2 linked regions of the Saccharomyces cerevisiae S288C genome follow. The protein of the gene in region 1 interacts with the protein of each later gene in a biochemical or structural test. Each region holds a gene or a part of one and is shown in the gene's direction. Other genes may lie near its edges.

Evidence for each region.
Region 2: the proteins of SEC23 (region 1) and SAR1 form a complex in vitro, tested with the Saccharomyces cerevisiae proteins (6 studies listed by BioGRID, with this or other methods).

What each region holds. Positions count from the first base shown.
Region 1 is NC_001148.4:896,861-903,551, reverse strand, and holds SEC23 (GTPase-activating protein SEC23), read left to right. Parts: upstream 1-3,884; coding exon 3,885-6,191; downstream 6,192-6,691. Other genes in the region: GDB1 (bifunctional 4-alpha-glucanotransferase/amylo-alpha-1,6-glucosidase), read right to left, coding at 1-1,508; DPM1 (dolichyl-phosphate beta-D-mannosyltransferase), read right to left, coding at 1,994-2,797; mRNA splicing protein SMX3, read right to left, coding at 3,098-3,358; E1 ubiquitin-activating protein AOS1, read right to left, coding at 6,548-6,691. UniProt on the Saccharomyces cerevisiae protein: Component of the coat protein complex II (COPII) which promotes the formation of transport vesicles from the endoplasmic reticulum (ER).
Region 2 is NC_001148.4:136,872-140,289, forward strand, and holds SAR1 (Arf family GTPase SAR1), read left to right. Parts: upstream 1-1,826; coding exon 1,827-1,854; intron 1,855-1,993; coding exon 1,994-2,538; downstream 2,539-3,418. Other genes in the region: PCL8 (Pcl8p), read left to right, coding at 1-1,357; GTPase BMS1, read right to left, coding at 2,749-3,418. UniProt on the Saccharomyces cerevisiae protein: Small GTPase component of the coat protein complex II (COPII) which promotes the formation of transport vesicles from the endoplasmic reticulum (ER).

The sequences.
Region 1 (6,691 bases):
CTTAACTTGACACAGTCCCCCCACACGATAACTTCTCTACGTAAATAAGCTCTTGAATTCTGCGATGCAAAATCCACTAGTGGGTTACCATTCCATATCCAGCCATTGTTGGCGAGGGCATAATCAGTACCATCTTTTCCTTTGAACCTCGTAAAATAAGGCTCTGTTAAGGGCACGTCAACGGTCACTGGACCTTGCTTGGGCCCACCGTCATCTAATCTCAAATATTTGATACGATTGAACAGTTGCTCGAGTATCTCACTGACATCATCGTCGTATTCTCTATATAAGGGTAAGTTGACCTCGTTCAAGATGTTTTGAGCCGTGGCCAACGAAGATTCACTGTCATCACTACCACCATCGTTAATGAGCTTCAGTAGTTGAATAAATTTTGGCACGTTAATCCTGTTTGAGTTTCTTTCACCAAGAGTGCCGAAGTTAGGCTCAGTGACGTTGTCCTTCACAAAGGAAGCTAGTTTTACGAAATCGGACGAGATGTCTTTAATATTCTCGGGAAAACTGTAACTTTCGTTAGATTCGTCATTCCAATGGGCTTTGATATCCCGAAGAGCTGTTTGCACGTTTACCGCATAATATTCCCACAGTTTCAACGACCCTAAAACATGCACTTTAATACCGTCCATGATCTTGAAGAGATCTTCTATATTTTTCAGTTCGGTAGGATAGCCCCAGGATTTCAAATTCCTACTAAAATTGAGCAATTCTTGGTCGAGCTCTATGGCGCTGATTAGATGTGGCGCAGTGATGTGGTTATACCCAGCCTCCGGGTGCTCAACTAACCAAGGAGAATTATTAGCTGTGTGGTTAAAAACAATATCTGTTAATGAAAGCATGTTTAAATCGCGATGTATATGCTCAACTAAATTTTTCACGTCTTCAGGAGACTTAAAGTGTTCCTGGTCGAACTGCAATTGGTCGTATATAGAGTAAGGCGAGTTAGACTCGCCTCTTTCCTGTAGAGGGGTGAAATGTACCATATTGTAGTTTTTAGCGGCAATTTTCGATAGGATGGGCTCCCAGTCAGAGCCCAGCCATTTCGATACAACACTTTGTAAAGCGATGGAATTCAAAGGTAGGAACTGATCGTTTATATAAAGCATGGGCAAGGCAACAAAGTAGTATTTCCTTGTTGTCTCAAGTTTTTCGTTATCGTTCCTGAAAGATAGATAAAAGCAGTACGAGCCTGGAGCGTAGACATTCAGGTCAATGCAGTCATCCTCGTGAAAGCTGGAATGAATGATTTTTTTGTAAAATTTGTCCCTCTTGAAGGGCGTGTTGTGATCTGGTGGGCAATTAGTCCAAACTAGCCCATCCCTAGCGACAGGGGAACCTGCAGATACCAGTAGCTTGACCGTATAGAGCGGTTGGTCCTTTGGGGCGTCCTTAGGGAGCGGAATTGGTGGTAGCGTCAAGACACCTTTTCCGTAAGAGCAGCTTGTAATGGGTTCACCGGTATCCGACAAACGTAGCAGTAATGATCTATTCATAAAGCAGTTATATACTAAGGACGATTGTGGGTGTCGGGTTGACTGGAAGTTAAGAGAAGTAGTATTCGGATATGAGTGACTTCAAGTACAGTGTGTAATATACGAGGTTAGTATATATAATCATCAAGAAACCGGGGGGGAAGAAAAGATTAAGGGAGCAAAGTCTCGAGAAGAATTGGCCATTTCAAGGGGTTGCTGCTGTTGTGACAAAAAAGAAAATTGGATATATTTTGGTAGCGCCGCGTGGGAAACAATGCAGTAGGGTTGAAAACCAAGTTCCTGAACCCTATGTGTGGGGGTGGGGCAGAATGAGTTATGGCCTAATCAACCTAATGTTTTTACCCTAGGGCAAATATTACGTTAACAATGATGGCCCGAGTAGAGGATTAGAATAGGGACAGACAATAAAAGGCATATAACTGAAAGGGAGTACTTAAAGAGACATATAAAGAAAGATTTTTTTTTTTCGTTACCATTCACTTCCTTTAAAAGACCAAATGGTATAGCTGGTAGCAAACGTAGAAGAACAGAATGGACCAGAAAGTAATGAAAAGGATAAGGTTATTGGCGCCAAACTTGAAGACGTAGAGCTCCTTAAGTTGTTGCAAGTATTGGATAATGACTTTACCTGACAGTTTGGATTCACCTTCCGTTCTCACGCCGAAAGTGAATGGCACTTCGCCGATCGCCACTCTAGGGTCTCTTGGAAGAGGAAGCTTGGCGAGAAGCTCGAGGGCAATCTTGAAACCTTGCGAGTTGATGTCCCTAGGGTTGCAGTTTTCGAGGTACTTCTTTTGTAGACCGAAGAACCCGCTCATGGGGTCGGAGGCGATGGTCAAAGGTCTGGCCATCATTCTAGCAGTGGAGGAAATGACGCGTCTGTACATAGGCCAGTCCTTGTCAATGCCGACACCTGGGGCATATCTGGTGCCCAGAGTAAAGGCGTGATCGTGCAAAGACTCGAACAACTTGGGCACGGTCTCTGGAGGGTGTTGTAGGTCTGCGTCCATGCATACCAGGTACTGACCCTTGGCCTCGTAGAAACCCTTAAGCACGGCGGAGGATAGACCACGTTCATTTGTCCTGACGATGATGCGGACGTTGTAGCCTTGGTGAGCTAGGGCGTCCACCTCCTCAACGGAGCCATCCTGTGAGTTGTCATCGACAAAGATCAACTCGGTCTTCTTGGCCATTTCAGGGCTCATGCCGGCAAACAATCTGGTTGTTAAGGGTTTGATGTTCAGCTTTTCATGGTAAGCGGGAACGATAACAGAGTATTCGATGCTCATTGTGGGTGCGTGTATGTTTGTGTGTAATTGAAGCGATAGCGTTATTACAATAGCGGTCTATATGAGTTAGGAACACGTAAGAATACTGAAAATTTTTCAAATACTGGAAATCCTTTATTTTTCCACGCTATTTGTCATGCGAGGGAAATCCAGAGGCAGGAATAAGGAAGAAAAATAGAACAATATAAAGCAAGAAAATAAAAAAAAAATACGCGATGCGAGTGCTATAGAATGATATTGTATTACAGTAGAGGGCGTATGTAAATATACTGGTATGTAAGGGAGATGAGCACAGTCGTCTTAGTTCGGCAGCTCCCTGATGTACAGCACGTTATTGCAGCGGATGAATATCTCGCCCAGGGTGCCGTGCGAGACACCCGCAACAAACTCTTCTGCTTCGTTCAGCTGCAGGTTAAAGTAGTTGTCCGTGGACACGAGCGTACCTCTATATTCGGTGCTGTTGAACTTAAGCTTGACGCCTACACGATGGTTGACCAGGCCTTTGAGGAACGGCTTCGGGTTCACCGGCTGCATCGCGCTGATATCACTGCTCTCGCTCATTGTCTTGTTGTGTTGTGACGTAGTGTGTGGTGTGGTATAGTACGCGGTGCTGTGTGTGCTGTGCTGTTTTTGCGTTGCTCATAGAACCGTTGTTTCTTGCTCTTACCATCTCATGTTCATATATGTTGGGGAAAAGAGGTGGAACAAGAAAAGTTACCCGGACGGCAGAGCGGTTGTTTTGCCTGCTTTGCCATAATACAGGATGGGATCACACACCCCCCAAGCCATGCTACAACTTGGAAGAGTGCAATTCAAGTTGGTTGTCCTCAGTAGTTTGAGAGATTGCGCTAATTTTGTTTTATCACCGTTATTTACTGTCAGTTGAGATTTGTCGCTTGCGACGACTAGCCCGCCGCCTCTCGTTTGTTACAAAGGAGGAAAGTTCTAGCAAGAATAAAAGAAAAACACGTTTGAAAAAAGAAAAAAAGATACTTGTTGTGATCTTTCCACGTTCAGCAAGACACACAATTAACTGAAGCCAGTGTTTATCTGTCTGTCGCCTGCCTCCCCTTCCTCTTTTCTAGCCATGGACTTCGAGACTAATGAAGACATCAACGGGGTCCGTTTCACCTGGAACGTGTTTCCCTCTACTAGAAGCGACGCTAACAGCAACGTCGTCCCTGTGGGCTGTTTGTACACACCTTTGAAGGAGTATGACGAATTGAACGTTGCCCCATACAATCCAGTTGTGTGTTCCGGTCCACACTGTAAGTCGATTCTAAATCCTTACTGTGTGATTGATCCGCGCAATTCGTCCTGGAGTTGTCCCATCTGTAACTCCAGGAACCATTTACCTCCACAGTACACCAACTTGTCACAGGAGAATATGCCGCTAGAGTTACAGTCCACCACCATTGAGTACATCACCAATAAGCCCGTTACCGTTCCTCCCATTTTCTTCTTTGTTGTGGATTTGACTTCGGAAACCGAGAACCTCGATTCGCTAAAGGAGTCTATCATCACTTCTTTGTCTCTATTACCTCCCAACGCGCTGATTGGGTTGATCACTTACGGAAACGTTGTTCAATTGCACGATCTGTCCAGCGAAACTATTGACAGGTGCAACGTGTTCAGAGGAGACAGGGAGTACCAGCTCGAAGCGTTGACGGAAATGTTGACCGGCCAAAAGCCTACCGGCCCCGGCGGTGCTGCATCTCATCTACCGAACGCCATGAACAAAGTTACGCCCTTCTCTTTGAATAGGTTCTTCCTGCCCTTGGAACAGGTCGAGTTCAAACTGAATCAATTACTGGAAAATCTGTCTCCAGACCAATGGTCTGTTCCAGCGGGTCATAGGCCATTAAGGGCCACAGGTTCCGCTTTGAACATTGCATCTTTGCTTTTACAGGGCTGCTATAAGAACATCCCAGCAAGAATCATTCTTTTCGCCTCCGGTCCAGGCACCGTGGCCCCAGGTTTGATTGTTAACTCAGAGTTAAAAGATCCCTTAAGATCCCACCACGACATCGATTCTGATCACGCGCAACATTACAAGAAGGCCTGTAAGTTTTACAACCAGATTGCACAAAGAGTTGCCGCCAATGGACACACTGTTGATATTTTTGCCGGTTGTTACGATCAAATCGGTATGTCTGAAATGAAACAGTTGACCGACTCTACTGGAGGTGTGTTGTTGCTAACCGATGCCTTCTCTACCGCGATTTTTAAGCAATCATACTTGAGATTGTTTGCCAAGGATGAAGAAGGGTATTTGAAGATGGCTTTCAATGGTAATATGGCAGTCAAGACAAGTAAAGACTTGAAGGTACAAGGTTTGATTGGGCATGCTTCTGCTGTAAAGAAGACAGACGCTAACAACATCAGTGAATCTGAAATCGGTATAGGTGCAACGTCCACCTGGAAGATGGCTTCCTTATCGCCTTATCACTCGTATGCGATTTTCTTTGAAATTGCAAACACTGCGGCTAATTCTAACCCAATGATGTCTGCCCCTGGTTCAGCAGATAGACCTCATCTAGCATATACTCAATTCATCACTACTTATCAACACTCCTCTGGTACCAACCGTATCAGAGTCACCACGGTCGCAAACCAGCTTTTGCCCTTCGGTACTCCTGCCATTGCAGCTTCTTTCGATCAAGAAGCTGCTGCCGTTTTGATGGCTCGTATTGCTGTTCACAAGGCTGAAACCGATGATGGTGCAGATGTTATTAGATGGTTAGACAGAACTTTGATTAAGCTATGTCAAAAGTACGCCGACTATAATAAAGATGATCCTCAATCTTTCAGGTTGGCTCCAAATTTCTCACTGTATCCTCAATTTACCTATTATTTAAGAAGATCCCAATTCTTAAGTGTCTTTAACAATTCTCCGGATGAAACTGCATTTTATAGACATATTTTCACAAGAGAGGATACGACTAATTCTTTAATCATGATTCAACCAACTCTAACTTCTTTCTCAATGGAGGACGATCCACAACCGGTATTATTAGACTCTATCTCCGTCAAACCCAATACCATTCTATTATTAGATACATTTTTCTTCATCTTAATATACCACGGTGAGCAAATCGCTCAATGGAGAAAAGCCGGTTACCAAGACGATCCACAGTACGCAGATTTCAAAGCTCTTCTTGAAGAGCCAAAATTAGAAGCCGCAGAATTGTTAGTAGATAGGTTCCCGCTACCAAGATTCATTGATACTGAAGCCGGTGGTTCTCAAGCCAGATTCTTGTTATCTAAATTGAATCCTTCCGATAACTATCAAGACATGGCGCGCGGAGGATCTACAATTGTCTTAACAGATGATGTTTCCTTACAAAATTTCATGACTCACTTACAACAAGTAGCCGTCTCTGGTCAGGCATAGGAGCAACGGCTTTCTTTTGTTTTATTTGATCGTTATTAGGCTTTTTGTATAATATAAGGCCTGTTCAGTCCATTGCGCGTGCAAGAATTTTCCTTTGGACCTGAACGAAAAGAGTAGAGGATTTTATATAATATATTCTCCGTCTTTTTTGTACTGCGTGGCCTTTACTACGAATATCTGTATCTAATTTCTTTTCTAACTTTTTTATTACCATTACTACTACTACTATTATTATTATTATTATTATTATTATTATTATTATTATTGTGTATGACTATAATGCTTTACTGCCTCCAATTATGCTTTTTTTATTATTTTTTTTGGCTGAAACTACAGTATAGTAGGTATGTATATATCTAAAACTCAAAAAGTGGCATGTCTAATGTAATACCATCAAAAACAATGAAATTATTTAATGGAGATAGCCTTTTACCTAGAATGTTAATGACATCCTGCGCTACAGCACCCCCTATAATGGCCGCGACAGGAGCAAACTCGAT
Region 2 (3,418 bases), 760 kb from region 1:
AGAAGACGTTTTTGACCTTCCACTTAAGGTAGGCGTTTCTCAAAGCAGGAACTTTTCAGAAGTAAATGACGTGTTAGACCCGCTTTCTAGTTTGCATGGTCCGTCCAAGAAGGTGAGATTTGAACAGCAAAAGCAGCAACAGCAACATCAGCAACTTCACAATGACTTCAATACAGATTTCAACCTGAAAAGCCCGTCCAGTAAAAAAATGGGGGTAGAACAGCTGATCCAGTCAGCCAATGAAATCAACGATTACCTCGCTAACAACATTGACAAGGTAAATAGCTTTAACTCAGAGCTATTGAGCGGCAGTGGCAAGTTACCTGGGAGAGTAAAGAGTGACACAGCAACTCAAGGTACCGGACGCTTAGATTCCATGTCCAACTTTGCTCTTAGCGATACGGAGTTGGACAATGATGACGATAATTATCTCCTGGATCCCCTTGCAAATGCTAGCTCTACTACACCCACTGTGGAACACCACGGTTACAGCTTATTAGACAAGGCTTTATCCACGTCTGATAAGGAAAAAATATATACGAATAAAGTGAATTCGAATAGTCAGATAGATACTGATAATCACTCTCACGAAAGTGGAAACACTACCAATAACGAAACAGATGAAAATGAGAGTTCGGAGATCCTGGACTACACAAAATTTGATTCTTTCCCCTATCCCCCGTCTTCTGCCCCCAATGGGGAACCACCAGATTTGAAAGTGCTAAGCATTGAATGTGAGCAGGAAAATGAAAAAGAGCTACGACGAATATCTTTATTATTGGATCATTACGAATCAATACCGAAAATACCAGAATTGTCAGACGATGAAGCACTATCTAAGTTCCGTGAGAATATCGAATTAATTTTACAACTATCTAAGAAAATTAACGATAATGCGAACACTTTAGCGATTTCCTCCGAAGATCCTCAAAAATTTGTTAATTTTGTGATGAAGAACCCACCTTCCTTATCATTCAGAGATTTTATCGACAGAATCCAGAATAAATGCATGTTTGGTGCCGTAGTCTATCTTGGAGCCACCTATCTACTTCAACTTGTGTTTCTTACGAGAGACGAAATGGACGGTCCCATAAAGTTGAAGGCTAAATTACAGGAGGACCAAGCCCATAGGATCATCATATCTACAATAAGAATTGCCACCAAGCTATTAGAAGACTTTGTCCACTCACAAAACTACATTTGCAAAGTCTTCGGTATTTCAAAAAGACTGCTGACCAAACTGGAAATTTCTTTCATGGCGAGTGTTAATTTCGATGGATTAATGATTACTTGTGAAAAATTAGAAAAAACATTGCATATCCTTGATGATACAAGACAGGCATTAGGAAACACATGAGTTTTGCATATGTATTATGCAGGTTCATTTGTTCCTTCCCTTATTTCTTTTCATAGTATTTATTTTTATTTATTTATTTATTTTTTTTTGGATTTTATTTTATTTCTTTTTTAATGCTAAGAAAGTAATTCCGCATAATTAAACGTGTGCTGGCCTCGATAGGTACCTATAGTATACAGAAGCTTACGAAAAGCTCCTGCAGGATGGCACTTCTAAAATTCGCGCTCAACATGGCCGTATTGTACATTATATCGTTCTATCATTATATCGTATACGCCCGCATTACCCGACAACTCCGTCTGCAACGCGTTGACCAGAAAACTCGAACAAGAGATCGCATAAAAAACCAAAAGGAAACGAATTACTTGTCAAATAGTTATTGTAATGGATCCTCTAGAAAGGCAAACAGTAGATTTATTTCCTTCTTTTCTAGAAACATCATTATAACTAACAATATATAATTGGAATAATGGCTGGTTGGGATATTTTTGGTTGGTGTATGTTATCACCCTGTTCACGTTTTTCGGATACTTAGTTTTATTCAATGTGGTAAACATTGAATGTTTTCAGCTTAAGATCTATTTTTTTTTTTCTAGAAGAAATTGCGTCCTTTACTAACTTTATTTTACTGTACAGTCAGAGATGTGTTGGCTTCCCTTGGTCTGTGGAACAAACATGGTAAACTACTTTTCTTGGGTTTGGATAATGCCGGTAAGACCACATTGCTACATATGTTAAAGAACGATAGATTGGCAACCTTACAACCAACATGGCATCCAACTTCTGAAGAACTGGCTATTGGTAACATTAAGTTTACAACTTTCGATTTGGGTGGTCATATTCAAGCTCGTCGTTTATGGAAGGATTATTTCCCAGAAGTTAATGGTATCGTCTTTTTAGTCGATGCTGCTGACCCTGAAAGATTTGATGAAGCACGTGTCGAATTAGATGCTTTATTCAACATTGCCGAATTGAAGGACGTTCCTTTTGTAATTCTTGGTAACAAGATCGATGCTCCAAACGCCGTTTCTGAAGCGGAGCTACGTTCTGCTTTAGGATTATTGAATACCACTGGCTCTCAAAGAATTGAAGGTCAAAGACCAGTTGAAGTTTTCATGTGTTCCGTTGTTATGAGAAATGGTTATTTAGAGGCGTTCCAATGGTTATCTCAATATATTTAATTGACGTATACATCTATACCCTTTATATGACATTCACATGAATTCAACAGCTTTGTAATAATCAACAAAATTGCATAGGATGCCACCTCATAACTTTTGAGCACAGCATTTCCGCGATCATAGTATATTTTAGACTCTAAGATTGAATAAAAGTATGATACATCTTAAGTATACATATATATATGTATATATATATATATACATGAAAGTTTACCTCCTCATCTTACGTGGACGAGATTCATCGTCACCGCCCATAGTTGTTCTTTTACCATTCTGGGCGAAGTATTCTTTCTTTTTCTCCTTATCCCTTTGTGATTTTTCTTCCTCCATCTTAGCTAATTTTTTCAATCTTTCCTTACGTTGACTAGCCTTCTGTTCCTTCCTCTTGCTGTCTTTGGCTTTCGAAATCGTCAATACTTTTTGAATGAATGATCTTGCCTTCTTTTCATCACCACCTAGCACCACGGCTCTTTTAGCCATATATGTTTTCTTCTTTTGTGGTTTCATTTGATGGATCTGAGATTTGAATGGCAATTCCTTTTGAACAGCTTTTGGGACCTTTAGACCATTGAAGTGTCTTTCTACACGTTCTATTTTATGATATGCACTGTCCGGATTCGACGGTGTTTCCAGGTTCATAGCCGCTCTTATTTGGCCTGTCAATCTTAAACCTTTCCACTCGGTTTTTTCCTTCAACAATAGTGAGGTAACAGGATTATAGAATTTCTTGACGCGGACAGGATACCATGATCTTAGAATTACAATATCACTCATTAGGATTTTATCCTCAAAGGCTGCCCTATAGTGACCCTCAGGCTTTGAAAGTGCCCTTTTGATTTCACCACGGATACCCGAGACAGTTTTGATCTGCGCACCCTCA